Linked DNA regions of Tamandua tetradactyla. The protein of the gene in region 1 purifies or fractionates together with the protein of each later gene. This does not show direct contact. Links are inferred from orthologs where the notes say so. Each region holds a gene or a part of one and is shown in the gene's direction. Other genes may lie near its edges. The genes, in order: ANKRD28, PPP6R3, PPP6C and PPP6R1.

The links.
Region 2: the proteins of ANKRD28 (region 1) and PPP6R3 purify together in Homo sapiens (co-immunoprecipitation; 3 studies listed by BioGRID and IntAct, with this or other methods). This does not show direct contact. The link is inferred for Tamandua tetradactyla from reciprocal best matches to the Homo sapiens genes ANKRD28 and PPP6R3.
Region 3: the proteins of ANKRD28 (region 1) and PPP6C purify together in Homo sapiens (affinity purification with mass spectrometry; 9 studies listed by BioGRID and IntAct, with this or other methods). This does not show direct contact. The link is inferred for Tamandua tetradactyla from reciprocal best matches to the Homo sapiens genes ANKRD28 and PPP6C.
Region 4: the proteins of ANKRD28 (region 1) and PPP6R1 purify together in Homo sapiens (co-immunoprecipitation; 4 studies listed by BioGRID and IntAct, with this or other methods). This does not show direct contact. The link is inferred for Tamandua tetradactyla from reciprocal best matches to the Homo sapiens genes ANKRD28 and PPP6R1.

What each region holds. Positions count from the first base shown.
Region 1 is NC_135341.1:72,721,686-72,729,651, forward strand, and holds the start of ANKRD28 (serine/threonine-protein phosphatase 6 regulatory ankyrin repeat subunit A), read left to right. Parts: upstream 1-4,961; 5' UTR 4,962-6,357; coding exon 6,358-6,474; intron 6,475-7,647; coding exon 7,648-7,731; intron 7,732-7,966. UniProt on the Homo sapiens protein: Regulatory subunit of protein phosphatase 6 (PP6) that may be involved in the recognition of phosphoprotein substrates. Involved in the PP6-mediated dephosphorylation of NFKBIE opposing its degradation in response to TNF-alpha.
Region 2 is NC_135335.1:6,105,072-6,112,654, reverse strand, and holds the start of PPP6R3 (serine/threonine-protein phosphatase 6 regulatory subunit 3), read left to right. Parts: upstream 1-4,581; 5' UTR 4,582-4,708; intron 4,709-7,583.
Region 3 is NC_135328.1:47,350,910-47,358,757, reverse strand, and holds the start of PPP6C (serine/threonine-protein phosphatase 6 catalytic subunit), read left to right. Parts: upstream 1-4,848; 5' UTR 4,849-5,079; coding exon 5,080-5,154; intron 5,155-7,848.
Region 4 is NC_135342.1:4,459,933-4,467,034, forward strand, and holds the start of PPP6R1 (serine/threonine-protein phosphatase 6 regulatory subunit 1), read left to right. Parts: upstream 1-4,096; 5' UTR 4,097-4,477; coding exon 4,478-4,537; intron 4,538-4,736; exon of another isoform or gene 4,737-4,885; intron 4,886-5,221; exon of another isoform or gene 5,222-5,297; coding exon of another isoform or gene 5,298-5,303; intron 5,304-7,102. UniProt on the Homo sapiens protein: Regulatory subunit of protein phosphatase 6 (PP6). May function as a scaffolding PP6 subunit. Involved in the PP6-mediated dephosphorylation of NFKBIE opposing its degradation in response to TNF-alpha.

The sequences.
Region 1 (7,966 bases):
GTCAAAATATCCTTCAGAAATGACAGAGTCTGGGTGCAGGAGTAGTTCGATGGTAGATTTCTCACCTCACTTGCAGGAGAACTGGGTTTGATTCCCAGCTCATGCACTTCCCCAAAAAACAAACAAGCAAACAAACAAATTCAACAAAGGGTGCTGCAATAATGGGATACTCAATAGAAAAAGAATGAAGTGTGACCAAGGACATACAGCATACAGAAAAAAAAAAGGTGTAATTAACACAGATAAACAAAAGCTGAAAGAGTTAACTACCAGAATACCTGCCCTATAAGAAAATGCTAAAGGGTGTCCTATAGGCTGAATAAAAGAACACTATGATGTAACTTAAAGCCATAAGAATAAGTAGAGAACTTTGGTAAAGATGACTACATAAGTAAATATAAAATCCTCTGTTACTGTACGTTGGATTTGTAACTGCTTTTTCCCCTCTTTATGACCTAACAGGCAAATATGAAAAAAAAATTAGAAATTTATGTTAATGGCCATACAATGTCTAAAGATGTTATCTGAGACAGTAATATGAAGGGGGAGGGATGGAGATATATCGAAGTCGAAAGTTTGTATACTAATTTTGAGAACTTTTTAGAAATGGAAGGGGCTTCCAGGTGGAAGCAGAAATAGAGGGCAAAATGTCTTTCCTCTGTTGTAAATGGATTTCTAGCTTTCAGGAGTGGATTTTCTTTTGAATGAGGATTCAGTTTATTTGATTCAGTGGAACACAGGAGCCTCAGTTTATCATCCTCTGCCTCGCTTGGTGTCAAAATGATGAACAAATGCAAATCTGTATCAGTATCTACAGAAAAGTTCAATGATAGAAATCCTTGACAAGGATAGGCACATGAAGAGGCAGGTAGAAGATTGCTTCTAAAGAGGGCATGATACCCTGCTTTCCTGCCAGCTAAAATGTTTTTCCAGCCCCCAGGCTTGCCACATCCCCAAACAGATAATTCACTGTAAATGCAGCCATAATAGTGACTAGGATGGATCTCAACTCACTGACCTGGGATTCCTCCATGCCTGGGAGGAAAAAGTAGGAAAAGGGTAAGAATAAAGTGGAATAAAGGAAATTAAACTGAACTTTTCAAACACATTAATACTTGAGCACTTTATAATTAATATAAGGTATGACCATAAGTATCTGTGTTTTTGTTGTACATACTGTTAGGTAGGAGACAGCTCAATTTTAGTAGGGCTACAGTCATTTAAAATGGTTGTTCAAATTAGGTTAAATAATGTCAGCATAAGATGGATTAATGATGGTAGGTGATTTTGAGATTTGAAAAACAATGAAAATTTACTAATATGTTCTAGAAGAAAAAAAACTTTAATTTGGCTTGAAAAGTAATTACCTGAAGAAAAACCACATCCTCTATGCTATTTCCCTAACTGAAAAAAAAAGTTGAACTTAAGAATTTGCACAATCTTTGTCAGTAACTTTTCATTCAAAGTATTTTTTTTCATTCCTTAGTTTTTAAAATATTTGTTTACTTGTCTCTTTTCAAGATGTGAATTTTTTGAGACTAGAAATCCTGTCTTAAGTCAGTACATGTTAACAAGATATGAAGCAGTGCTGTACTGTAGAACAAACTTAAATAGTAAAAAATGTTGTAGTATTTAACTCAGTATTTTTCTTATCTGACTTTGATTATATATCATGGGCCAATACTTTAGATTCTTCTCTTTCCCCACCCTATAAAATAGGAGGAATATGGAAAAATGGAAAAAACCTGTTTACTGTTCCCTCCCCCCAGTAATACTTAAACTCTTGGCTGGTTACTGGAGTCTTTAAGACCAGCTTCTAGCAGTTTCTCAAGAGGTCTCTGAAAAGTGTGGGTACTTAGCAACTGAATCCCTAGATAGCAGTCTGAATGCCTCATGGGTTATGGGAAGCGGCAGGGGTGGGTGTTGAGTTCAGTAGCCCTTTATCTACTGGTTTCACAAGGGCTAGTATTGTTTATCCATCCTGAATATCCTTAGTAAGATTATTTTGTTGAACGTTCAAAGTAACACTGTGATATATATTCTGTTAATGTCATCTAATAGATGTTTAAATGAGGCATGGAGAAGTTAAATATTTGTCCAAGGTCACACAATTTACTGTGAAGCCTTTATTAGAATCCAGGTAGTATGTCTACAAAGACTACATTTTCACTCGATATACTATTACATATTATTCCTTGATAAAATCTCTGGGGATTATTAATCATTCTTGTAAGTGTGAAGAAACTAGGCTAAGGGAATTTAAATAGCTTGTCCAAGGACAACAGCTAGTAAATTTTGAAGTCAGAATTTGAGCTCCAGGTAGATGAGTGAGCCCTTAATTTTTAACCATTATTTATATCATTGATTTACATTTGATCAACTTCTAAATTTTAAGATGCTCACTTACTAGAGATAGAAATTTCATTTTGTTGCACCTTAATGCCATCTATGTTTTCTCATTTAAGTACATATATGCACCTTGAAAAAAATTTGCATGTTGGTCTTTTTAATCTGCCACTCTATTGTAGAGTCTTGTGTCAGAGTATATTTGAGTGAAATTATTACATATGGCAGAAATTGGAAGGAAACTGTGTATATAATACAATTCCTGCCTTCAAATATCTTGCTCTGTGGTTGGAAGAGACCTAAGTATTAAAGTTGACCTAGAGCAAGAAACAGGATACTACCTGTTTTAAGTCTGAGTATGTGAACTTAAGCGCTGATATTTTGGAATAAGTTCAAATTCTACATGTAAAAAGAGATTTAGTTTTGAGGGTGAAAAACCCTTGAAGAGGAAATATAGAATATTGTTGATAGAATGGCTTCATTTTCAGGTATAGCAAATAATTAAGATACTGTTTTTGATTCAGCCATTTGGGGGATAGCTAACTTCATTTTTGTATGTCAGAATATTTGCATGCCTTTAATTTGGCTTAGACCATTTTATATCTATTATAACTGTGAACTGTTTGCATATTTTAGTACCTTGGTATAGATACATTAGGGTTACAGGTTTTTTCATAGATTGATATTCTGTAGGTTTTGATGATTTTTGTTCTTAAATTCTTTTGTTCTTATCTGTATACCATGCTCCCACCCTCCCATTCCCCCTTTTATGGTTTTGACAAGTAATCCTACTCAAACATGTGAGTTAAGACTGGTCCTGAAATACCCATCCCCAAAAAAACTTGTTTTAGAGTATAATTGCCATTGATAGCATACTCCTTCATTCCTGGAACTTTTCATAACCATTATAGATTCCCAGTCTTTTAAGATCACTTTTGCAAGCTAGTATTTTAGGTTGCAAAGATGTTGAGTGTGAATATATGTGTACAAAATGGAAGCAAAGTAGATGAGTAAAAGAACAGCTTTACTAGTTTGCATGACTTTGAATAAAATACTTAGTTTCTGAGTATGTTTTTCCCCTATAAAGAATAATAGTGTAAAAGGGAATTTTATAAAGCTTAACAGTAGCTAATTTTTCCTGCTTAATTTAGCTATTTATATATATTTTAGCTTCTGAAATATCCAGCAAAAGCATTTGTGTCATTTTATATTCACGGCTATGCATTTAGTGTGAGTTAAGAATTATAAAGAAAAGAATTATGGGCCCCATCAGGCTGAAGATAAACAATCCTGGCGCCAAGGTTACTTGTTGTAAAACTGTTAAAAAATGCTTATTGTAAAACTGTTCTTATCTGCTTTTTTGCAAAACAGCACCTGTGACCCATGCTCAACCCCCACCCCCCTCATCTTACCCTTTAAAAAGCTTTTGCAGACTTAGGTTCGGGGCTCTCTGTTCATGCGTGTTCAGCGAGCCCCACACATGTGTGGAAAATAAACCCCTTGCGTGTTGCATGAGAGAACGTCTCTTGGAGTCCTCCTTTGCATGGCAAAATTCTCGAATTCTTACAATAGCAAGGTTATTGTATTAAATAAGAATGTATAGCACCTAGCATATGTGTTCAAAAATAGCTATTATGTTTATTAATAAAAATACTAGTTGACAGCAAAATGAACACAGATTGAAGGGGGACCAAGGTATTTTCTGGATTTTTTCTCTTGGAAAGTGCCCCATTATTGGGTAAGCAGATAAAGGTGGGGGTGGAGAGTAGGGATGGCAGTTAGGAGATGGTGGGTTCAGGTACTTATTTGTAGATTTGGGAAGATTATTTTGTGAGGGAGAGAGATTTTTTTGCTTTCTTCTTTTTTTTAATGATTCTTTGTTTTTATTGCATTAACCTGTGCCCTTTTGACATGCAGATAATCTAGAACCAAGAGTTTTAAATACTTGTTTTGTGTGTAGCTGTTTAACAGGTTTTAAAGCATTATTTCATTTTTCAGAAGGAAGATGCAATTAATTTCTTCAGTGAAAATGTGAACGATTCATAGAATTTTAGATAGGATTTCTAATTTTTATTTTTTCAATTTAACAATATGAATTAATGATTAAGTTCAACTATTCAAATATTGTTAGCAAATAGTAAATCTGCCTTGTTTAAACTTCTGTGGGTTCTTGAAAATAGTGTAACATCTAATAGATTAAAAATGATTTTGGTAAAAAATAAAAAAGTTAAGGTTCTATTCTTACTGTATTTCCCCTTCATCTCTAAATCTCTTTCATGAATTCATTGAGGACCTATTATTGCTGCTGTCATTATAGGGTTAAGTATTTGCTATATTGTAACATACGAAAGCAGTTAGGCTGTTCGGAATTGTTTACTTGCTAAAACCAGTGTTAGTCAGCAGAGGCAGTGCACCAGATTTCCTTGTGGCTTTTAGTGGAAAATGTTAAAAGCGCACTCATTTTTCAGTTATAGAATTTTTCAGTTTGATCTGGATTAGTCACAGAACTGGCATGAACCGTCTGATTGTGAAGGCTGTCCAAATGTACTATTTTTTTTTTCTCCTGCTAGAGGAAGTTACATCCTGAGCAGTGGCTCAGATCTCTGGTAAGTGTAACATGTGAGCATTACTAGGCATTTCATCCTGCGGGTCTGCAGTCCTTTGCTCTTCAGACTGTTGCTCAGTTGGAATGCTTCTTTGGGACCGATCCGAGGTTCTGTACGTATTTTTCAAGGACCCACTCATTTGGGAGTGTCACTGGCGTTTTGCAAGATCATCTAAGAAACAGGAAAGCGTCTGAAATCTACTGAGAGGGATAACTGTAGCGGTTTTCTCAGTGGAAGGAAACTATATTGGCACAGAGGCACATGATTGAATAAAGTAGTTTGTTCAAAGAAGATGCACAGTGTGTTTTTTCCCTCTGAATGAAGACTATTTAATGGATGCTGTATTTATATGGAGATCAAAGAAGACGCTGGAATGATAAGCTACTTTGTTATTTTTATTTTATTCTTTTTTAAATGAAAAGCCTGAAGCAGTAATTTGAGCTCAAATGCCTTCTAATTCCTTTGCAGCCTGCTTATTCTGTTAGGATTCTCCACTAACACCATTTCTCCCTGTTGCCTGTACCCTTTTACTGGAGCAGCTACAGACAACTGCCTGATGAAGAAAGAATGAACACTATGCCTTGCTTATGCTATCGATGGAAATAAAGCCATCTCTGTTTATTCTATTATTTGGGAAATCTGGATTAATCAAGCTGCATTCTAGTACCAAGAGTCCTATTGTCTCTTATAGCCTGACTCATCGCATGTAAATGTACTGCAGTTTTGCTAGTAATGCAGAGTGGTTTTTTCCCCTCCCAAACAGAGAAAGAATTGTCAGCCTCTGAGCGTCATTTTCAGAATTTGTGCTGAGCTCTAGGTGTTTGCTTTTTTTTCTTCCTTTTTCTGGATAGTATCTGCATTAAACCAGTGAAGCCAAAGAAACGAAGACAAATTAGAAGTGGAAACAGAATAGTGAGATTTTATTTTTATTTTCAGTTATAAGAAGGCCAGCTATTGGTAACTGTATGACCTTGCAGACAAGAGTGGGTATAGCCGTGATCATCTCTGTCACAGCAGTTGTTTCTCATTTCATTCTACATCGTGTGGTGGTGTGTCACCAAAACAGTGACCATTTTGTGCAAGTGAATTTCTGTTAGATAAAGCAATATGACTATTTTGGTAGGGGGAAAATATTTTTAAATGAGCTTGTACTGGACTTAGTTTTAGTTACTGACATGTTGATGTGAAATTTCTTTTAAGTATTGCGGTAATCTAATAGTAAATATTAGAATTTTGTTTTTAGGGACTTATAAGTTATATAGTACTTATTAACTTTAAAAAACCAGCTGTGCTGTTCACAGAGAATGTTTTTAAGTGTTGTACAGAAGAGGAGGAAAAACTACTTGTGCCCTTTCAACTGTGACTTTTATCATATAGTTTGGAATTTAGTATTTTAAAAGAGCGAATGAGTCGAGTGTGTATTGTTGTTTTGGAGGAGGTAGAAGATGAATCTCCTGCATTCATTTCTAAATTGCCACAGGAAAATAAATCCCATCATTCTCCATCTTCTGGAAATGTATTGGTAAGATATGTTAGTTTATATGTTTACTATAGCCTACTGAACTATTAGGATAAATTTTTAAAGAATATTATATATTTTCTAATTTTTTCATTATGAATCCAAATTAAAGCAAATATAGGTGTGCAAGTGTGGTGCAGTATTTCTTGTGTATAACATGCACACATTTCTGATTTTTACTTTTGCAGATGCTTAGATAATATTTCAGACTTCACTCTTTTAATCTGTTAAAAGAAGATTTTTAAAAACAATTGGAGAAATAGTAGCCATGGCAACCACGTTTTTGTTTTCATTTTTGTGGTTTTAGAAACTGCTGTAACAAAAATAGGAACTCTGCGTGTTTTAGGAAAGGTTGACTACTACCAGTAAAACAGAAATATAGCCTTTTCAGTATGGATTTTATGTATTTAGATGCAAGAGTTTAAATGAAAGAGAATCAGACTTCATCCTTAACCTTATTTTTAATGCTGTTGTCAGTTGGCTTCTTTTTTGCCCAGTATAATATGATACCTTATCAGAGAGACTGGGTTGTTGATTAGGAAATTATTATATTTAGACATGAATGTGCTTGTCTCTTTGTGTCATTCTGTTGTACAGTATTTTTTTTTGGTCTTTGGATAGTAATTTTCATCAATTGCCAGATTTGCTTTCTTAGAATTTATATTTTTATACTTATAATGGTAACCGACACAAATTATTTTCATGCCCCAAAGAGAACTTTTCAAAGTACTCTATGTATATAATTCATGGGCCTCGGCATAGTTTGAACACTATTTGTTTGATAAGTTTTGTCCCCCTAGTAGATGTTGGGTGTCACATTTGTATTTGAAAGAGACTTTCTTTTTACCAAACATACGTATTTAAAAAACCTTCTAATAAAACAGACTCTGATTGTCCTTTTTTTTTTTGCATAGGCAGGCACCAGAACTCTGGTTGTCTTTATTATACTATTTAAATTTGGTCCAACGGAATTTTTTTTTAATTAAGCCCTCTTTTTTTGCAAAATAACTCCTCTACCTCGCTATGATTTGGCTTCGCAAAACTTTTGATTAATGTAATAAAATGATTGGTGCTACAAGGAAGAAAATTTTTAGATTTAGGAGTTGTGTGAAAATATCTGTAGAATCATCCATGTGTTAAGTGCAACTAATATTTTATTGCTTTCTTATATTTTAGCCATCACTGGTGCAAGCTATATTTAATGGAGATCCTGATGAAGTTCGAGCACTAATATTTAAGAAAGAAGATGTTAACTTTCAGGTAAAACAATTCACTGATACTAGCTTTTAAATCTGCCTTTTAAAACTCTTGGAATTTTGATTTTTGTTTAAAAGTCACAGCACAATTCTTTAACAGTTGTTTTCAGTGCCAGCGAAAGAGTTCTGAGGCAGAAAAGGAAAGAGACTGGACATGTATTCAGGGTGATAATTAAAAGTAAAAGAGTGCTAGAGGCCAATGAGGGTCCTTTATTCTCTAAATTTTTACTTTGAAGTAT
Region 2 (7,583 bases), on another chromosome or scaffold:
GGACCTGGCCTCCTACCAGGTGCCAAATAAATCGGCCAGTTTACATAGGCATCTGTGGTGTACAGAGCCCTTGCTTACGTCACTTGTAAGATTAGTCAGACACAGCCCTCCCTCAATGCTGCTCTAAATCCAGGGATTGAGGCCGACTCGGTTTCCAAACTGGTGGGGAAAGAATAGCACTTGCAACTTCCCAGAGTGGGCGTTGAGTGCAGCCGGGAAGGCAGGAGGGCTTCCTGGAGGAGGCGATGCCTGAGCTGTGCCTTAAATGAGGTTAAATTAACTGGCCACCACTCAAGCCCTGTGGGGTGTCCCTTGTGTAATGGACCCCCTCCCCGCCAGTGGCTCAGCTGTACCCTCCTCTAATCCTTGTTCCAGGATGGCTATGGGGGCTCCCTCCCTGCCCTGGGTCCAGCAGCCCCCACTGGGCCTACAGCTCCCCTGGGACACTGAGGTAGGACCCCCGGACTGTGGGACAAAACCCACGTGGCTGTTGGGGGAGCCAGGACATGGGTGATGGGGTGGGGGTGGGGGAGCATCCTACCCCTGGGAAACCTGGGTGGAAGGGAAGGTGGGTGGGGGCTTGGATCCCATCCAGCCCCTGTAGGGCTCCTTGCAGACTCTCCAGCTGGCTCTTCACAGCATGGGGTCTCTGCTGAACACAGCCTCAGATGGAGGGGCAGAGAGCCCGCCAAGGAAGCCCTAGCTGGCTCCTCTTCTCTCGCTCCTCCTCCAGAGTCTCACGCCTTTACTTCTCTTCACCCATGGGCCCTCTTTCCTTTTCTTACCCCGTAAGCTCACTGGTAACCCTGGTCCTCAGCACCCCCAGCCTTTCCATCTACCCCCCATCCCTTGGTAGAGGAAAATACTCACCTCCTTCCCACCCCAGGCTGAATCTCAATGCAGGGAAGAAAAGGAAAAGAAACAGAAGGGTTCCATGTCCATGTTCAAATGTGTCAAAGCTTCATAGCTCACTAGAGCCCCCAGCTGTCCCCTTCTCTCCACCGCATCGCCTCTCGACCCAACCCAGCACCAGCCAGGAGCTGGGCTGCTGGACACCAGCCTTGGCCCTTTTTAGGACACGTCTTCTGCCACGAGGTCCCCCACGCCAGCCGGCGGACCAGTGCTAGCCTGGGGTGGATGCTGCCCTGGTGAAAGCAGAAAAGAAGTTAGTGAGCTAGTCACTCCTGAGTGTGTGTTAAGATGTCTTTTATGAAATCATGGCAATAATAAGTGGAATTCGTATCCTCCCCCCCCCCCCCCCCCCCCCGCAAAAGATATGCCCTCCCAGATTCTGTGAGTGTGACCTTATTTGGAAAAATGGTCTGTGCAGATAAAATTAAGCTAAAGATGTCACGAGAAGTTCATTCTGGATTAACTGGGTGGGCCCCCGGTCCAATGGCGTGTCATTTTAAGAGACAAAAGAGAAGACACAGAGACAGATGGAGACAGAGACTGAAGTGATGTGTCTACAAGCCAAGGAAAGCGAAGGAGTGCTGGCAGCCACCAGAAGCCTGGAGAGAGACAGAAGCAGGCTCTTCAGCCCTACCCACTCCTGGATTTCTGGCTTCAGAACTGTTACAGAATACATTTCTGTTATTTTAAGCTACCAAGTTTTTGGTGATTTGTGGCAGCAGCCCTGCGAAACTGATATGGTCTTTTTATCATTACTTGATAGAATTGAAATTTGGTTGTTCTATATTTGTCCCCAAATGTAATTGTTGGATACAAGGCATTCATTATACTCTTCTCCCTACTTCTGAATGTATTGGCCAATTTTTATATACTTTTTTAAAAAGTCCAGGATTGAAAACTTAAGTATTAAAAGTTAACCCATAAGACCATTGGGGGAAAAGGGCAAAACTGGTGACCTTTGAAATCTAGAAGTCTGGGAAGGTGGATTCTAGGATGGGGAGGCCAGTCTGGATACAATGCAGAGCTGCAAAATCACTTCCTGCGGTTCGCCACGGTGCTCAAGGGACAAGCTACCCTCACATGCCTCTCCCTCCAGGAAGCCCTCCCTCACCTCAACCCCTCTGGTTAGGTTGGAAGCCCACCGTGACTGGAGACGTTTCCTTGGGTGAAGTACTGCGGTTTAATTATAGTGCACGTGGCCCCGTGACTCACCTCAGAATCTGGGATGGGGAGGCTCACAGCAGGTGCTGGCAAAGCCTTTGATGATGAATGAATAAAAGGATCAGAGGGTGGCAGAAGTCTCCACAGGCTCCCCAAGAGGGCGGGGTAGACCTGGCTCAGCCTCCTTCTCAGGCACCAACCCTGTCCCAGGGCTCCCAGCCCCAGCCCCTCTTGCCTGGATTCCTGCAGCACGCCCCTCTTGCTCCAATCCCTCCTTTCTAAAGTATTCAGGTGGTCCTGAATACACCTCTCCTGCTCTGAAACTTTCCCTGGCTCCCACTGTCCCGGCATAAAACCCGAGTTCCTTAACCTGTCATCCAAGACCTCCATGATTTGCTCCTGACCTGCTTCACATCCTTTCCCCTCAATCTTGTGACACCCCCTCCCCGGGTGCTGTGCTCTTGTTTTCCCTCTGTGGCCCTCCCTTCCTCGTGCCCAGAAATGGGTTTCAGTCTGGGCTGCCCCCTCTGGCCCTGGGACCTCTCTGAGCAGTAGGATCAGGACTCTAGCATTCAGCCTGGGAGACTGCCCACCCGCCCCACCCTCCACCCTCCTCGAGGTCTAGCACCCTTCAGGGCAGACTCAGGCTGGAAGGTGTCGCCACTGTACTTCCCAGGTGAGTCAGGGCAGTCAGGTTACCCGGCAAGTCGTCCAGCCAGTAAGGGTTAGGGTGTTCAAATGCTTCTGGGCCTTAGTTAATCATCTGTAAAGCGGGGATGAGAAAACTGTTCTGAGGCTGCCAGCAGTGAACCCTGCCTCTAGCCGCAGGCTCTGCTGAAGGGGCGAGCTGGGCTGGGGAGGAGGTCACGTTTGCACCAGAACCCCAGCTTCCCCACCCCAGGTGTGTGTGTGTGTGTGTGTGTGTGTTTGTGTGTGTGTGTGTGTGTGTGTGTGGGGGGGCTGACCCAACCCAAATCGGCCCGTTTCTCCCTGCAGGTTGGCAGCGGGTCCCTGAAGGTCTGACTAAGGAGGAGGAGAGAACTCAGGCCAGCTGAGGCCCCCCCTGCAAAGGGTGGGGAGAGGCGCAGAGAGGCGTCGAGCTGCAGGGATAGGAGATCCAGGGTGCAGCCAGGTGCCCTGCTGGACAGGTCCTGTCCCCGCCCCCTGGCCGAGCTCTGCCCCGTTTCCCAGGCCTGAATTCCTGGGGGCAGCTTGGAGGAGCTCACAGCAGGCACCGGCCACCCCTGACCCAGCCAGCACTACGGGGCTCCCAGGCCCCTGAGGTCTGGGCACTGGAGACTATTGGGGTCTTCTGAACGTAATGGCAAGTTCTGTAGCACACCCCCTCCCCGGGACCCGGCCTTGTCGCCCACCCCTGCCACCTCTTCGTCTTGCCATGTCCTTCCCCCCAGGCCCACCTCCACGAGGGCGCCAAAGCCCCCCTTGGGGTCTCTGTGCACAGGCTCCTCCCTCCTTCCTCGGCAGGGCCCCGCCACGCGCCCCCCAGCCCCCCAGCGCCCCAGGCCGCCTGGCTCTGAGCACGGTGCTCGGGAAGGCGCCCCCGCACCAGCCTCCTCCGGGACACCACCTGGGGTGCAATTCGGCGCCGGACGGAGCCCCAGGGCTTCCTGCACCTTGTCCCGCCTTTCATCGCCCACCTCGAGCTCCGGCCCTCCTGCCGGTGCGCCGACCCCGTTCTCGCGGTGGGCACGGGGCGGGGTCCCGAAGTCGAGGAGGTCTCGCAGCGAGGGAACTGGCGGTGACATGCGGGGTCAGGGGTCACCCGGACGAGCGTTTTGGGAGACAAAAGGGACATGCCAAGAACCCTTTTCGTCGCTTCGCCCTCGTTTCTGGAAGAGCTGCTCTACTCCGTTACTGAGGAGATGAAGATTGGACGGGGTACTTCAGGATTTCGGGGAAGCTCCCTGGAAAAAAAAAAAAAAAAAGCGTTTGGATGTGGAGAATGCGGGCATCGATCCCGCTACCTCTCGCATGCTAAGCGAGCGCTCTACCATTTGAGCTAATTCCCCCGCTCGGGGGTGCTTTTGTCGCCGGGCAACACATTGCGGGAAACGTCATCAGCGGCGTCCTCACGAAGCCCCGCCTGCCGGCCCGTTCTCCCATTGGTTCCCCTGAAGCTCCAGTTCCACGGTCATGATTGGTTTGGCTCAATTTCGTCTTAAAGAGCACTGCCTACAGGATTGGTGGTCAGAAGCGTCCGTCAAGTGGAGGCCCGCTGTTGCTACGGCACAGGGGGACCCCGCCGGGTTTCTCCTGGTTTCTGATTTGTTTCTCCAGCCAGACCCCGGGGTCCTAAAGGTTCCGGATGCGTCAAGTCCATGGGAAAAGAATGCGCTCCCCGAGCCTGACTGACGGCGACCGCGAGCCAATCGGAGTGGACGCCGCGGAGCCGCTGGGTGACCCAATAGGCTGCAGGGGGCAGGAGTGCGAGACCAATGCGCGTAGAGCCGGGGGCGGGGGCAGGGCTGCGATTGGCCGTGAGGCGTCCGGAGGGAGGGCGGGGGGAGCTCAAGGCCTGCTTGATACGTCCGCCATTTTGGGCGCTTCGCTGATGGTGTCGGTGAGCGCGTTTCCCGCCTGAGCGCAACTAGCGGCGGGTCGTGGGCACCTCCAGGTAACCGGGGGGGAGACGACGGGGCGGGCCGCGGCGCCGGGCGCGCCGGGCGCGCAGGCGGGCGCGCGGGGCCTTCCGCCGGGGCCTGGGCTGCGCGGGGAGGGAGCGTCCCGGCCCCTCTTCCCCTCCCCCCCGGAATCCGCTCGCTCCGCGGGCCCGGGAGGCGCGGCGGCCAGTCCTCCTGTCCGGGCCCGCGCCCGCCCGTCCGTCGCTGTCAGCCGCCCGGCTGGCCCGCCGCGCGCCCCGGGGCCCCTGCGGGCCGGGCGCCGGGGGCGGGACGCGGGCCGGGGAGGCGAACTTTGCGCCCGCCTTGACGTTCGCGGCCTTGAGCGGCGGCCGGCGGCGGCGCGCCCCTCACCGGGCTCCGAGCTCCGCTTGTCCGCCCCGCCGCCCAGAGCCCGGCGCAGGGTCGGGAGGCACCGGCCGTCTTTCCCTCCCCCCGGGTCTCCCCGGCCGCGGGCTCCCGGAGAACTTTTCGCGGTGCGGGCCCCCGGGAGCGTGTCAAGTTGAGGCAGCAGCTCGCTGTGAAGATTCGCGACGGCCATTGTTGGACTCTGTGCTCCGGGAAACAAGTTTTGTGGGCTTCTGTTAATTCGCCGCAGAGTCATCGAAAGACACAAAAACCAGTTCGGAGTGTTTAACGTCCCCTTCCAAGTGATTTTTAACTCCGGTGTTGTGACTCGAACGGCGACCTGGTCGCCAAAGCTTCCCTGGCGAATATGAGCGAGGGGGGTGGTCCTTCATGTGGCCTGAAGTACCTCCCTCTTAAAGAAGCCCATTCGCGGGGAACTTTCTTCGCTCGAGATCCTGCTTGCCTCGGTTGCCACTTGGACTTGTAGTTTGCAGGTGGACCCACGAGTCTTTGGGTATAGAGCTCTGGGACCTGACGCCCCAGCCTCGTAACTTAACGTCATTTCCCCGGTTACTGCACATCTTCTCTGGGGGTCGGATAGAGTTGTTTATGCGTTGCTTTTATGGGAGGGACGCTGTAGTTTCTTCGCATCGTCACAGCACTTGTTATTGTTCGTACTGTCCCATTTTATTAATGGGACGTTAACTTTGATTTTGCCCTCAAGGTCATGAGGCAGGCAGGTAACCACTGGGAAAGGGAGCCCAGATGTCCAACCGCTGGCGAGTGTTTGATTAGTTAGTGGTGGTGTCTGAGCTTCTTTCGCTGTGGAGTTAGATTGTCTGGATTCAGAGCTTGGCTTGACCACTTTCTAGCTCTGTGACCTTGGGCAAGTTACTCAACCTCTGCTTCTGTAATATGGGAATAATGGTGTCCACCTCAGGGTTGTCAGGAGTGAGCTAATGTATTTTAGGTAAAGCAGGTAGAACGGTGCTTGACACACAGAGAGCAACCCGGTAATTAATGGCTATTGTTAATAATTTCAATTTGATTTTTAAATACTGAGATACTGTTAGGAAGTGAGATGAATGGTTAAGCCCTTGCTCTTGATGACTGGTGACTCTCGTTAGAAAGCTTTGTGTAATTAAGAGACAGTTGGGTCTGAGAAGAGGAACTAGAAGTTGTTTTTATTTTCAGGGTTGAGGGTGGTTGAAGAGTCATCAAATAACATACTTTTGTTGGAGTAATTTGTGGTGGTGTCTCAGAATGTTTTGTCTAAGAGGTGGTTAAATACAGAAAAGCCCATCAAAAACTTGAGTAGGACCCTGTTCTTCATGTGCTTGTGGGTACTATTTGGGTGTGATTAGTAAGTCAGCATTTGGCCCCAAATAAATAACTCCGGAGTTTCTCAGTGTACTCATGTACTTTGTTATTGAGGTTTGAATTAAAACAGCTAAGATGTTGAAAAGGTACTGTATATTGAGATATACTTCACTGAAGAAGTTTGGGAAAATAACTGTTGTCCTTGGTAGTGGATGCTTTGAAAGCTCTTTTGCGTTTCAGTATGTCTGATCAGGGAGTCTAGAATATTTAACAAAATGTCATCCGCCAGGTCACACTCACCATCTTTTATTTCTTTGCTCTTCTCCAGCTGTGGTACTCAAACCATGCTTTCCTTTCTTGGTATTACTTGTTTGGGACCTGACTTGCTTTATTGCACTGGGGAAGTATATGTAGATAGACTTATTTTTAAGTAGAGATGAGAATCTTTGTCGTGTAACTTAAGAATAGGAAGAAGGTTGTTTTAGGTTTAGAAAGCTTTAGCTTCTTTTGTGTAAAGTTTAGCAAAACACCAAAAACTTGGTAGTTTCCTTTCACTCATTGAGAATTGCTATAGCTGGATAGGAAATGGATAGTAATAGAATTAAGATTTGGCACTGTGAGGTTTTCTTTGCTTCTTTAAGATGATTTTTTGCTTCTGTTTGGTAGGTACAAGGATAATGTGCTTATTATTGATAAAGCAGAGTATGTGTCAGTATCAGCATTGAGTTTGTTTCTGTGATAAGCTTGAATCTTCTAGCTTTGTATTTTGGATATTTGAGAGGCAGCCTGTGTATATATTGGTCTAAAATTTGACAATATTTTTCTACACTTAAGACTTAATGATATTGATAATGAAGTTCCTCTCATCTAAAACTCAGCATTGATTTTATGTCATATAAAACACAAGAATCTGTGGTTTGGTCCTCAAGGTCTGAGAGTGTCCAGGGTGGGCTGGTAATGTTAGCTGCTGTTTCTTGAGTGAGGATTTACTGAAAAATATACACATAGATTCTTGGCTTAAAGTAGCTTTCACATTTTTTTCCTAAAGAGAACCTCAGATGGTTGATTTTTAAGTTTACTTTAGATCAGCATTTCTCAGCTGGGGGTATTTTGTCCCTCAGGGAACATTTGGCAATGTCTGGAGACATTTCGGGTTGACTGGGGAAGGGGGTACTACTGGTATCTAGAAGGTAGAGGCCAGGG
Region 3 (7,848 bases), on another chromosome or scaffold:
TCTTTGTTATTTCTCTTTCCCTATTTGCTTTGGGGTTAGTTTACTGTTCTTTTTCAAGTTCTTCCAGCTGTGCTGTTAAGTCCTCATTTTTTGCTCTTTCGTGCTTTTTAATATAGGCATTTAGGGCAATAAATTTCCCTTTCAGCATAGCCTTTACCATATCCCATAAGTTCTGACAAGTTATATTCTCATTCTCATTCATCTCCAGATAGTTGCTGATTTCTCTAGCAATTTCTTCTTTGACCCATTGGTTGTTTAAGAGTGTGTTATTTAATCTCCATATATTTGTGAATTTTCTCGTTCTTTGGTGGTTATTGAGATCCAGCGTCATCCCATTGTGATCAGAGAAAGTGCTTTGAATAATTTCAATATTTTAAATTTATAGAGACCTGTTTTGTGCCCCAGCATATGATCTATCCTAGAGAATGTTCATTGAGCACTAGAGAAGAACGTATAACCTTGTGCTTTGGGGTGCAATGACCTATATATGTCTGTTAGTTATAATTCATTTATCAAATTATTTAACTTCTCTATTTCCTTGTTGATCTTTTGTCTTGTTGTTCTATCTATAGAGCAGAGTGGTGTATTGAAGTCTCCTATATTATTGTTGAAACCTCTATCACTCCCTTCAGTTTTGTCAATGTCTGTCTCATGTACTTTGGATCTCCTTGATTGGGAGCATGAACATTTATGATTGTTATATCTTCTTGGTGAATTGGCCCTTTAATTAGTATGTAGTGTTCTTTTTTGTCTCTTATGGTGTCTTCACATTTAAAGTCCATTTTGTGTGGTATTAGTACAACTACTCCTGCTTTCTTTTGGTTACAACTTGCATGAAAAATATTTTTCCATTCTTTCCCTCTCAAACTGTTTTTTATCCTTGTGTCTAAAATGAGTCTCTTGTAAGCATAATACAGCTGGATTATGTTTCTTAATCTATTCTTTCAATCTGTATCTTTTAATTGGTAAGTGTAGTTCTTTCACGTTCAAAGTTACTACTGAAAATGTGCTTCTTTATTCCACCACCTATCTTTTTTATTTTATTTGTCAGATCTATATATTATTTTCCTTCTTTCTCTTTGTATTTAAAAAATTACTCTTAGTGGTACTCTTCAATTCTGTGCCCTTCTCCAGACCTCCCTCTCCTGTTTTTTTTTTCTTTCAACCGGCTGAACTTCTTTTAGTATTTCTTGTAGGGCCAGTCTCTTGTTGACAAATTCTTTCAGTTTCTTTGACTGTGAAAACATTAATCTCTCCCTCAATTGAAGGACAATTTGGCTGGGTATAGAATTCTTGGCTGGAAGTCTTTCTTTTTCAGGATTTTGAATATATCATACCACTGCCTTCTCACCTCCAGGGTGCTAGTTGAATAGTCTGAAGTCAGTCTTATTTGATTTCCCTTGTATGCAGTAGATTGTTTTACCATTGCTGTATTCAAGATTTTCTGCTTCTCTTCAACATTTGACTGACTGATTAGTATGTGCCTTGGGGAGGCCTAAAATTAGATTTATTCTGTTTGGAGTTCTTTGGGATTCTTTGACTTGTATATTTGTGTCCTTTATGAGGGTTGGAAAGTTTTCCCCCATTATATCCTCAACCACCCTTCCTAGCCCTTTACTCCTCTCTTCTCCTTCTGGGACACCAGTGATTCTTATATTTGTGTGCTTGTTTTGTCTATCGCTTCTCTGAGTTCCCATTCAATTATTTCCATCTTTTTTGCCTTTTGCTGTTTTGAGTCTTTGAAGTCAATTATCCTGTCCTTTATATCTACTATTCTTTCTTCTGTCTCTTCAGATCTGGTGTTGTGTGCCTCTAGTATGTTTTGCATTTGTTCAGAGTCCTTAATCTCTGTGACATCCACTATTTTTCTATTTATTCTTTCAAATTCCTCTTTATGCTCTGTCTTTTTCTACTTCTACTTCTACTGTCTTCTTGATCTCCTTTATGTCATTTGCTATTCCACTTATTTTATTAAGTAGAGTTGTATGAACATCTTTGATTAGTTTTTCCAGTGTCTTTGTCTCCTCTGGTGTTTTAATTTGGTCATTAGGTAGGGCTATATCTATCTGCATTGTGATATGTTTTATGATCTTCTGCTGTCTTCATTGCATGTAAATATCTTGATTGATTTACTTTGGGTGTTGATTTCCTTCAGTAGTCTAATGCCTTGTGTTTATGGGATTGTTGTACAGCAGGGAGCAGAGCATGGAGTGGGCACTCTGTGTGGTGATTTGTTTCAGGGAAGGTATAGGCACAGGCTGGGGATGTTATGCTGATGCTTGTGAACGTGGGTGCCCAGCAGCTGAGGAGGATATAGCTGTGAGGATGCACCAGTCTGGGGGGGCAGGAGGCGTAACCCTGGTGTGTGCTGGAAGAAGGCACGGGGCCCTTTGTACACATGTGTAGAGCTGTGGCAGTGGTTGGCGTTATGCCTTCATGGATTGGGGGCTGATATGACCTGGCTGCTCAGGTCAGCATTTTCTCAGACCTGGGAAATGTGGCTGAGGGCCATGCGCATAGGGAGTTCTAGGGCTGCTGTAAAGTGCGGTTCCCAGAGCCGAATGACATGATTGGGGGTTCGTGCGCATGCGTGGGTCTGCGAGTGCCATAAATAGATGCACAGAGCTTAGGCAGGGTGGAGTGAGGCTGTGCAACACTATGGGTGGGGGGGTCGGGGTAGCCTAGGTGTGGAGGTTAGTGCCTGCAGCCTTTATGCACTGGCAATAGCCTGCAGGGAACAGTGAGGGGGAGGCAGTGCTTGGAAGGTGTGCAAGAGAGGTGGGTTGGGCTGCACTTGGGCTGGGGGTGTGGGGCATGTATGTGCACTGGGAGCTGGTGGGGTGGGGGTGCTTGGAGTGTGGGGAATGGGAGTGGGTGACGGGGTTCGGGTGCATGGAGTGTGGGATGAGTTGCCGTTCACAGGGCTGCGCCAGTGAGGGTAGCGCACCCAAGGAATGCGGCCTGGCTTACTTCCTAGTCCCAGGCTCCTGTCCATGCACACCCATGGACTCAGTGGCTCTGCGCATCCAAGCCACGCTCCAGCTTTCTGCCTCTCAGTTCCTCGGCCTCTGCAACCAGGGCTGCTGCATGTAGTGCAGAAGGCTCTCCCAAGTCAGGAACACTTTCGAATCGCCACCTTGGTTGCCCTCCTGTCCCTTCTCTAACTTTTCCATGGATCAGGGCTAAGCTCGAGCTAGTCTATTTGGCCATTTTCCCTGAAGTCAGTACCAATCACATTTTGCAATTAAATATTTGCTAATTTACATTTTTTTTGTTTCCCCATCAGACTGTAAGCTCCCTAGTTGTCTTACATCTGTCTTATTCACATCATAGGTACTATATACCTCTTTGTTGAATAATGAAGAAATGAATGCTTGTGGGAGGCATTAACTCTGCAACAAACTTATTTTTTAAATTAATTTTATTTTGATACAATTTCAAATTTACAGAACAATTACAAGAATAGAACAAAGCACGTCCCCCAGAGACCTCATTAAAGTTTTGCCAATTGTCCCCCAAATACATGTTAGAGCAAGAGGAGAGTGTCAGCTATTATTGGATTTTCTAACAATATCCCAACAGGTCTCTCAGCTGCAACCATTTCCTCTGCCTTACCCCATACAGAACCAGAGTGATTCTTTTAGAACAATTTAGAACATATTTCAACTCCACTCAAAATTCTATAATAGCTCTCCAGTCTTGTATTTTCTAAAGACTCTGGAAGCGCTCCTGTCTTAGCACTTCCTATTGAGGACTCCACATCTGCTCTTGCTGATCAATTCCCTCAGGTATCTGTGCGGTTAATTCCCCAGCTTTTTTTTTTTTTTTTTAATACATTACCCTATCTCCTTAATCCTTTTTTTTTTTTTTTTAATAAAAATCACTTTCTAATAATATGGTTATTTTTGTTATTTTTTGGGCGCATGGTCCGGGAATCAAACCCTGATCTCCCGCATGAAAGGCGAGCATTCTACCACTGAACCATCCGTGCACATTCTATATGGTTATTTATTATGTTTAATGTTTATGTTGTCTTCCTCTGCTAGACCGTAAATCCATTTTGAGGGTAGGGAGTTTTGCTATTTTATTTGCTAACTACCCTAAACCCTTACGATCATACTTGAAACACAGCTGATGTGCAATAAACAGTTGTTAAATGAATGAATATTAAAGGCATGCAATATGCCAAGTACTGTTCTTGGCGCAAGGGATACAACGAGAAAATCTATGCCCCGTGGGACTCACATTTAAGTATGCTTAAACCAGCCAGACTTATTTTTCCATTTTGGCCCCACCGCTTATTCCCTGAGCAATTTTGGACAAGTTACTTTAAGCTCTCGGTTTCCTATGAATTAAATGTGATGAGAATTGATTTAACAGCATTTATAAAGCATTTTGCATAAGAAATGTCTGGATATTTTCCCCCTTCCTTCCGGGCAGAAAGATTGGAAGCCTGACATCTCTGCCACAGATTTGGTGGTGGTTGTTTTTGTTGTGCAGATCCATGGATTTCTAAAATTTTTATTCAATAATATATACAATCTAAGATGTAGGCAAAGTTTTCACAAGGCCTTTGAAAAGTGTAAGCAGGTTATCATAGTCTGGGGGCCCCAATTTTAAAGTGACTTCAAGGTGAAACAGAGAGTGGTGAAAAGGGTCGGAAACTGCGTTTTGCATCCGAAAAACCTCGTTGGGTTCCTCGAAGTGAAAATCCCGAAGGAGGGAAGGGAAGGAAAGGAAAAAAAAAAAGAGTAGCTGGCCGCGAAAGCACACTACAAGTCCCAGCAAGTCCCGCGACGACAACTATGGGTCCCAGCAGGTATCGTTCGCCGACCGGAGGCCCTCCTCCCTCCCCCTACCCGCCGCGGCCCCGAAGGGCCTGCAGCCCGGGTTCAGCCAAAGAGGGCGTAAGGCGCACGGAGGGAGCCAAGAGAATCGAGTCAAGCTTTAACTTTGCTGCGCAGACGCCTCTCATGGGCCGGACGTGACGTAGGAAGAGTTCCGGCTTCGGCATCCGCCGCTGCCGCCGCTACAACATCTACAGCCGCCGCCGCCGCCGCTGCGGTTTGTACTTCTAAAATGGCGCCACTAGACTTGGACAAGTATGTGGAAATAGCGCGGCTATGCAAGTACCTGCCAGAGAACGACCTAAAGGTGAGCTCGTTGAAGCGGGCGTCCTGCTTGCTGGACTCGCCTCGTCCGGCAGTAGTGGGCCCTCCGGTCCTCCTTTCCTCCCTCGGCGGGACCCTTGCTGTGGAGGGTCCAGCAGGGCGCAGAGTGAGCAGGTTCGACCTGGTGTTACGCGGGGAGCCGAGCGAGCCTGCGTCTCAGGAATGCTGTTCAGTTTTCTTCAGTGGGGATCCGCAGGGATGTCGCGGCCTCTGCCCCAGAGTTGCCCCTCCTGGCTATCGGACTCCGAGCCCTGACTGCGCTAGTTATAAGACCCCTCTCCTCCTCCTACTTCCGGGTCTCCCATAATCCAAACCAAGCCCCAGGCCTAGTGTTCTTGGGAGGGGGTCGTCTCGAACAGAATAGATTGGAGCTCCGGGTGGCCGGCGTCTGACAGGAGATGCCGCCTGCGTCCCAGAACGCGGCCCTGGTGTGTTTAGGTTTCTGAAGCATCGGAAGACGATGGCCCAAACGGTTTGGTAGTGATATGGGAGAACATCAGGTCATCCCTCTCTCCTCACCATCCTCCCGAATTGCGGGTTTGTAATGTTGGTTTGGTTGTTTTAATTCGGATGTGAATCCCCTTTCTGGGTTATATGTTGAGTTAAATTTAAGTCGATAAAGTAGTAGGCCCTCAATAAGTACACATATTTCTCTACTCTTTAAGTCGTTCCTCCCTTCTTACCTCAAGTTTCCACTTTCTTGGTTTTTAGAGGTGGTGTGTTTTTCCTTGTTGCTGCAAGCCCTATTAACAGAAATGTTTGCATGAATTGGTGTACAGCTTTTTTTTTTCTTCCTTGCGTGGGCAGGCGTCGAGACTCGAACCCGGGTCTCCTGCATGGCAGGCGAGAATTCTGCCATTGAGCCACTGTGGCTCGCCCGGTATACAGCTTTTTAAAGAAGTGTTTCTGTGTGCTTGCTAAAAGCAATGCTTAGATGTCTGCAAGTGTTTACCGTGTAGGGCAAGTGCCTGTTTTACTTCAGTAAACTTTTATATTATGTGGTGAGTGGGTAAACTGTTGACAGTTCCGCTTAGTGTTTAATCTGAGTTTAAGGTAATTTACTTTGTTCTGTGAATATTTTCTCTTAAGGAGGAGATACTTGCTTTTTTGTTTTCCTGTCTTGTCCAGGAAGTTGATACTTAACCTGCCTTAGTCAAGAAGTATTCCAAATGGTTAAGGTCACTTGTGCTGTTGTGAATGTAACTGAATGGTTACATGTTGATTATATGTGTTGTATGATAGAAAAATCTCTCTTGTGCATTTCCCCTTTTTAATAGAATAAATTAATTTAAATGAGGACAGAGAAATAGTAGTAGTAATGTAGCTTTCGTGCTCTTAGAATCCTTCAGATATTAGTTTTGTGGTTTGATTTCTTTTTTTAATATATTAGCCATGTGATTTTATTTATTTATTTAATTTTATTTTTTGTGTGGCTTCTTTCTGCTATGTACTTTTTCATGAGACAAGAACACAACCAACATTGGGACCCAATTCATGGAAATTTACCAGACCTGTTTGGTACAGTTGTTAATCCCATAGGTGAAGTTGATAATTGCATATCAATGAATTGAGATGATATTTTGTTTTCTTTTTATCTATCATATGAGAAGCTGTTTTTTTCCCCCTGGTGTGCGTTTGTGTTTGTGCACGTGTATACACATGGACATGGACCAAGAATCAAACCCAGGTCTCCCACATGGCTGGAGACCTCCGAACCTGCTTGTGTGCTCTGTGAAGTTGTTTTGAGTTTTATTTTATGAATAATAAAATGTCGCTTGTTCTTATGAAAAGGTGTCTTGATATTGAGTTGAAACTGAGTACTGAAATGATTTGAAAAATAATCAGTTGAAGTTTCTTCAGGCCTCTTAGATGGATAAACATTAGATTCCCTTTCCATTTTAAGGAAATATAGTTATTAAGTCATTTCGTTTCTGCTTAAAATACAGCTGAACTGTGGTTTTTATCTGTTTCTTAATAAACTTCTTGATCTGGAAAACTACTGAGAAAAAAGTTATTTTTCTGTTTAATTAGAGCTTTCCTTCTATGTCTTAAAACTGTTTTTATGAGGTTACTTGTGCTGCTCATCTCTGGTGTGTTTAAAGAAATTTAATTTTGTTTCTGTTCCTTGGCATGAAGTGCAAACTAAAATAAAGTAGGCCAGGAAAGTATTGCAGTGGCACCTTTTCAGAGGTTTTAAAGCCCAAATAAAAGGTTATTTCAGAGGAAGAAAAGAGACCATTGGGGCCACCTAATGACCATAGTGGAAGAAAGTTGTTTTGGTAGAAAAGAAGGTAACAGGAAGTTACCCATGTTAGTTTTTGTTTTTTAAAAAGTATTTTTATTGAGAAATCTTCACACACATGCAGTCTATACCCATGTTAATCTTAAATTGACTAGACGTTGGAGGTACTAGATCAGATAGTAAATGCATAAGATGTTTTGGATCTAATCAGGAGGTCTCTGTATTTGAGTATTTGGTTTTTTTTTTTTGCATGGGCGAGTACCAGAAATCGAACCCCTGTCTCCAGTATGGCAGGCGAGAACTCTGCCTGCTGAGCCACTGTGGCCCAGATCTCTGTTTAAATTGAAAGTGATCAGATCACTAGTTACTGGATTGAATCTACTTTCTTTGAAGGAATAAGAATGAAATATGTAAAAATGAGTGGACAAAGTATAA
Region 4 (7,102 bases), on another chromosome or scaffold:
CCTGTCTCTGCTCAGCCCCCTGGAGGGGTGCTGAGAAAGGACCGGGCTCCAGGGGCCCCACCTCCTGCTTTCAGGCTCATCCCCCCCACCCCGAGCCTCTTGTCCACACTGCTCTTCCAGCAGAGACGGGGCTCCTCTCCCACTGCCACTTTGTCACCTCCTCTGGGTGCGTAGTGGTGGAGGGGCGAGGTGCGGGCCGGGGCCTGAGAGACTGGGGAGGGAGGGGAGGAAGGCCGCCTCGGGAGCTTGGGGTAATAAAACTCTTACTCCTACCACCCACAGAGCCATTGCCTCACTTCACCTTTCCAGCCTCTCTGGGATGGGGTGCAGGCACATCTAACCTTCTCCCTGCCCCCCAACTTCTCTGAATTCTCTTATGTTTCGGGAATTCCCACCTTCGGCTTCCAGGCCTCCTAAGGTCAGGTGTTTTTTCCCCCAGCATCAGAGCCTCCTGTACAGGTCTGCCGCCGGCAGCTGCTGCCTGGAAAGGACGCTTGTCCAGAGTCCACGGCCCTTGAGGCAGGGTGGAGGGGCGGGCAGTCGAGTCCCTGCCCAGGCCCCCCGTGGAGGCAAGGCTGCTGCGTGTCCCAGCTGCAAAGTGCCAAGCCCAACTCCACCTGCTCTGAGATCTGGGGGTCTGTCTGCCTTTTCTGTTTGCCTAAAGTAGGTTTCTGTTGATGCAACTAAGGGCCCTGCTGCAGGAAGCAGAGTCCGAGAATCTTGCATCCAGGATTCCAACCTAGGACTCATCCCAAAGCCCTGCTCCTCCCCAGTGCCCTCGCTTCCTGGCCCCATCTGATGCCAGGTCATTACTTTTGCATATACAGCACTTGCCTCATACTTTTGGGATTTTAGAGGGCTTAGTTAATTTCAGTTCTCTTCCATTCTCAAATTCAGAACAAATCGAGGCAGCTGTGGGAACAGAGAGTTGGAGATCCAATGTCATCTCGTTTATTTTTGAGCCATTTACATCATAGCTGAGGAGTGTTGCTTCTACTCTGCACCAGCATTAGACCAGCACTTCTGCCTCAGGCAGCCCTGGGCAAGCAGCAGCCTTCCCATGGGTGGCAGAGTGGAGGCCAGGGGACAGGAGTTCTGGGGCCAGCCTGTCTCCAAGAGGACAGGAAGTTGGAGGGCTGACCCCAGCCTGGGGGGGAGGGGGGCAGAGACATGCCAGGAGAGAGCCACTGGTGGGGGGTCCCCCACACCGAGCCCTGGGCTCTTTTGTTGTTTTAAAAGTTCCCTCCAATTCTTAGGCAAATAACATCTTCCTGTGAGTTCTGACAGGAGCTGAGACCCAGATTTCAGACAGTAAAGCCCCTGGAGCTTCCTGGGTTGGGCAGACTCGGTGCCTCAGCATCTGTTTGGTGGTTGAATATGGCCTGAGCCTGGGTGTTAAAACTGTGGCAACTGTGTAATCATATGTAGGGAAAAAAGCAAGGAAAATGATAGGTAAAAGACAGAAGAGTGCAACACAAAAGAAAAAATGATTCAAAGGACAGAAGGAATTTCTTCACAATTGCTTCAAGAGTGTAGCAATCAGAACATGGGTCTATTGAAACAAGGCCTTTAAAATATTTTTAAAAAAAGATGAAAAAAGGAACAATGGCAAACCCAAGGAAGTAAACTAAAGTTCTGGTAAGTTAGATTTTTCACCAGAGATTCACCCCCTCCCCTCCCACCTTCGTGGGAAAAGTACATTCCCTGCCTATGGCACGTGGAGCCCACCAGCCCATACTTCTTGGGCTTGGCCAGGTGATTTGCTTTGATCAGTGATGGTGGCAGATGTGAGGCAAAGGGAGATGTGAAATGTGCTTCCAGCTGGGCTTGATCTCTTGGGCTCCTGCCTCTCCTGAAAAGGAACCTTGGACAGCCCTTTGGTCCCATCTGTGAATGTAATAAATACCACCAAGGTTGTGGTTGTCATGCAGCGTTAGCTAACTAATACAAGGAGAAAACAACATCATGTGTGATAAACATACCAGAAATAGCAAGGACCAAAGGGGACATGGCTGGAAAGTCAAATGACAGAACCAGAGAGGTGGCAATGTGAGAAGAACTGAGCCCAACATCTCTGATTTTGAAGATGGGGGTGGGGCTTCAACCCAAGGAATGCAGGTGGCTTTTGGAACCCGGAGAAGGCCAGGAGGTGGATTCTCCCCCAAAGCCTCAAGTAGGGAATGCGCCCTGCGGTCACCTCGAGTCACTGGAGACCCATGGTGGACTTCTGAGCTCCAGAACGTAAGATAATAAATGTTATTTTAAACCACTTTAAAAAAAAGCAAAACAAAGGACTGACATAGTAGTGACAGTGAAGGCAGATGAAAATGACAAAGATTAAAGCAATTACCAGCTAACGCGTGTGAAATACAAATGCATAACCGGCATTCTTGAAAAAAAAACGAAAAACTGAATCAATAACTAAAATGCATAAAATACAAAAAATGTCCCCAAAATGCAGATTTATAGAAAAGGGTTAAGTCCTTAAGTGCATTTATTCATTTGATGCTTACAGTGAGCTGCTAAGTGGGCAGGACGGGGCTAATTGTCTCTATTACAACTGGGGAAACTGAGGCTCGGAGCCAGACAGGACCTTAAAGGACACTGACCCTAAGCCTAGGAGGCCCGCGCAGTCGATGTTGCTCCAGAAGTCTTTGCAGCAGCGGGCAACAGCCAGGCACCGCCTGGACCGAGGCGCGGCGGCGGCGGGTGGAGGCCATGAGGGAACACCCGGAGTGGATTTCCCGGCAGAAGACCGAGAAAGGTGAAGGGGCTTCCCAATGGAGCCGGAGGGAAGAGAAAACCCGGAACAGGGTTTCCACTGGATTTCGGAATGAAGTCGTAGAACTGGCTCCCGGAAGGGCAGCGGCGCCTGCGCATTCCTCCGTCTGGGTTGACTTGGGGAGAGACAGTTGGCACGAGCCGGCGCAGGCGCAGGCGCAGATCCAAAGCCCCGGCTTAAGGAAGCGCAGGCAGTCGCGACGGTGTTCCGGGTGGGCGGGGTAGGGGAGCCGGGGCCTCGCGCGCACGCGGGCTGCAGGATCCGCCCGCGCTGCCCCGCCGCACCTGCGCACCGAGAGGGCCGCGGGCAGGCGGGGCGTCCTGCGCGCTCCGGCGCAGGGGATTGTGGGATCGTGGCGTCGGGCGTCGGAGGCCTGAGGCGGACAGTAGGCTCCCGGGACCCGTCGGTTTGGGGAAGGGGCGGCTGAAGGAAGCGGGCCTGGGCTTCCGCTGGCCGCTGCTCGGCTCTGCGGCTTGTAGGGACTCCGGAGGGCGACGTTTTCCCCGCCCGCCCTCTTCGTTTCCGCGGGGCGCCGGCCTGGGCCGGGGAGACCGGAGCGACTGGGGCGACTTCCCCCGCGCCCCGCCGAGGCCCCTGCGCGGGTCCTCGCGGCCCGGCCAACCCCCCGCCCCGCGCCCTCGACCCCCGCGTCCTTCCCCCTCGCCTGCGCTCAGCCCGCAACTCTGCGGCGCTCGGCGCGCGGGGTCCCCCTTTGACCCGAGGGTGCCTGCGCGAGACCCCGACGTCGCCCCCCGCCCCCACATACCGGGCCCCTGAGCGGGGGCCGGAGCCGCCGGCGGCGGGGCGAGGGGGGCGCCCCGATGAGCCCCGAGTGCGAGGAGCCGCCGCCCCCCCACGCAGGTGAGCCGGCCCAGCCCGGGACCTTTTTCCAGAGCCCAGTCCACCCCCAGGACCCCCTCGAGCCCCACCTAAGTACCCTTCGCGGGTCCCAGTCTTCTCCCTTTCGGGTCCACCCCCACCTTTGTTCCCTGGAATCCTTCCCTCTTCCCCTGGACGCCTCCTCATCACTTCCCCCCCCAAGTCTAGAGAGTAGCCTCGGCCTACCCGCCACTCTCTTCCACCTTTGGCTTTACCCCGGCAGTCTCTTTCTCCTCGCTCCTCCCCTTCCCCCCAAGAGTCCCTCCGTTTTGCACCTTCATCTGTTATTACGGTGTTTTTCTTCTCAGTCCCCTCTTCCCCCTTCCCCCCTCATCTCTTCCTCCTGCCCCCCATCTCTGCCTTACCCCCACCCTTCCCTGTTTCCTGCCTTCTTGGACTCGTTTGCCCTCTGCCTGACCCTTGGGTTGGGGAGATAGGGGAACGGGGGTTTCCCTTCTCCCTTCCTGTGGGTCCGCTGCCCCTGGCTGCCTCTGGCTTCTCCTTGGGAGGAGAGGTTTAGGACCTGGGATTGTCTGGAGGTGTCCAAGTCCTGGTTCCAAGTCTGTGAGACGAGGCCTGCCGAGGGCAGGGCAGGTGCTTCATGCTGGGCACAGAGGGAGGTATCCTGCCCAGCCCTGCCCTGGAGGGGGCTGTGTCCCTGGGGAGATACAGGCAGAGCTGGACAGTCACAATTGCTATGAGGTATTGAGATAGAGGTAACTCAGGGTGCCGCAGGAGGCTGAGAAGATTGGGGACCGGGAGACTGGCGGGGCCGGTGGCTCTCTCTATCTAGGAAGGATGAGTTGGAGTTGACAGATGGAGAGTGGGAGGAAGGGCATTCCTGGTGGAAGGAACAGCGTGTGCAGATATGTGAAGGTGGGCAAGTTGGGGGTTCAGCACTGGGCGGCTCCACTGGAGTGCAGACGTGTTGGGAGGGAGTGGTCAAAGCTGGAGCCTTGAGTGGGACTTTCTGTGTAGGGGTGTTTCTGGCTAGCTCTTTTACACACATACGTGTGTGTAGATACATATACACACAGACACGTGCACATACATACACACATGCATTTACACACAGACACGCACTGAACATCTGCACTGAGGACACAGTCGTTGCCCTGACACTGGCCCAAAAAGCAAGATGTTTCTGGAAAGGAAGATGCTTTCAGATGTGGTATAGTGGGTTCAGAGCTGTGAAGACTCCGCGGGGAGTTTGTCCAACTCCAGGTAAGGTTCAGATCACCAGCACACAGGGTGAACATTGCAGTGACTCACAGTTGCCTGGAAAATCCAGCCTGTGTGGTTTACATCCATATTCTGTAGAATACTGTACCCAGGTCTCAGAGGCCACCACACCCAGAGACAGACACTGAGGGGAATGGCAGTGGGAATTGGTTGCATTTTAAAAAAGTTATGCTCTGTTTTTTTGTTTTTTAATTTTTTCCTAATGTGCATCATTTTGTGTCTGTTAAATGAGGCCATGTGACTCGATTTTGGGTGTTTTATGGCACCTTTGGGAGGCAGTGAAGGCCATTGGTTTAGAGCGAGATGTTTTTTCATCAGACCTAGGTTTGAGTCCCAGCTCTGCTGTCTGGTGGTGAGACCTTGGACAAGTTACTCAGGAGCTGTCATCTGGAGAATGGCGGTAACGGAGGGCCCTCCTCTCAGGGTTGTTCTGTGGATCAGTTCCATGTTTGTGGATGCCCTGGGCAGAATGCAGGGCCCAGTAAGTGAAAGGAATCCGGAGTTGTTAGGTTATTACATTTGCCTTGGCATCACCTATGGCATCTGTTCTCAGCTGGGGTCGCTCTACTCCTCTGGGGACACCTGGCCATACCTGGAGACGTTTGTTTGCCGCATGAGGGCGCTGTTGGCGCTGGTGGGTAGAAACCGGGAATGCTGCTCCCGTCCTGCAACGCACAGGATGACCCCCCAGCAAAGGAGCACTCAGCCCAAACGTCCCTGGGGCTCAGGTGCAGAGACCCTGAAGGCTGTTTGGATGGTGCTTGGTTCGGGCTGGACTGTCCTGTTGCTTCCAGTGAGTGGCTGTGTGGATGTGTGAATTCTTGTGTATTTTGATTTGCTTTTGTCTTTCTTTTTTCACTACCACCTAAAACATTTTATTTTTAAATGTATCTTAACTTTATTTTGAAATAATTTCAAATTTACAGAACAATTGCAAAAATAATACAAACGCTATACAGGAACTCCAGCATACCCCCCCACCCTCCAGATACCCAGATCTACCAATTTTAACATTTGGCCACCTTTGCCATATCATTCTGTTATCTCTCTCTCGATTATGTATCTATTCTCTGGATAGTTGAGATCAGGATTGCCCGCCTGCTCCTTGGATACATAAAACTGTCATGCGCATTTCCTAAGAACAAGGATGTTCACTTATGTAACCACCATAAGCGCAGTTATCCCATTCAAGAAACGTAAAACTGCTATAGAGCTTACGTTCTGTATTCCTTTTTTTGTCCTTACATCTCAGTGTCCTTTTGATCCTTTTTCTCCTCTGTTCTTAGATCCCATCCAGAATCATGTATTGCATTTAATTGTCATTATCTCTTTGGTTTAACTTTCTCTTTTTCTTAATTGTGGATATATATAACACACATAGATACCGTAGATCCTCCCATCCCAGCACACTGTAGAGTGTGAATAGTCACCTTCACAATGTTGCAGTACCTTCCCCTCCATCCATAACTGGACCTTCCTTTTCGCCTCAAACAGAAACCCTACACTCATTTTCCGTTAACTCCCCATTGCCTCTTCACCCTCCCCTGGTAAATTGTACTCTACTTTTTGTCTCTATGAGTTTGCATATTCTCTGATGTTTTCAGTGTGGTTATCGTGGGCTTAAATTTAACATCGTAAACCTGTAACTATCCTGTTTGCATTGACACCAGTTTAGCTTCAATAGTGTACACAGACTATGTTCCTATACCCCTCCATTCCCCCACCTTTATGTCATTTTGTCACAAATTACTTATTTATACATTGAGATCAAAACCATTGATTTATTAAACTTTAGGCATTTGGCTTTTAGATCCTGTAGGAAGTTAAAAGTGGAGTTACAAATAAAAAATAGAACAGTATTGGTGTTTCTAGTTACTTACCTCGTTACCCTCACAGGAGATTTTTATTTCTTCCTATGACTTCAGTCAGTTGTCTAGTGTCTTTTCCCCCAGTAGAATTCCCCTGTCTAGTATTGATGAAGTCCCTCAGCTTTTGTTTATCTGGGAATGTCTTAATTCCTCCTTCATTTTTTTTTTCACTTTTTAGATTGTATAGTATAAAATATATATAAAGCAAAAGAAAGAAAAAAGCAATAAGTTTTCAAAGCACTCTTCAACAAATAGTTACAGGACAGATTGCAGAGTTTGTCATGGGCTGCTATACGATCCTTTTTCCTTCTAGCTGCTCCAGTGTGTAGAG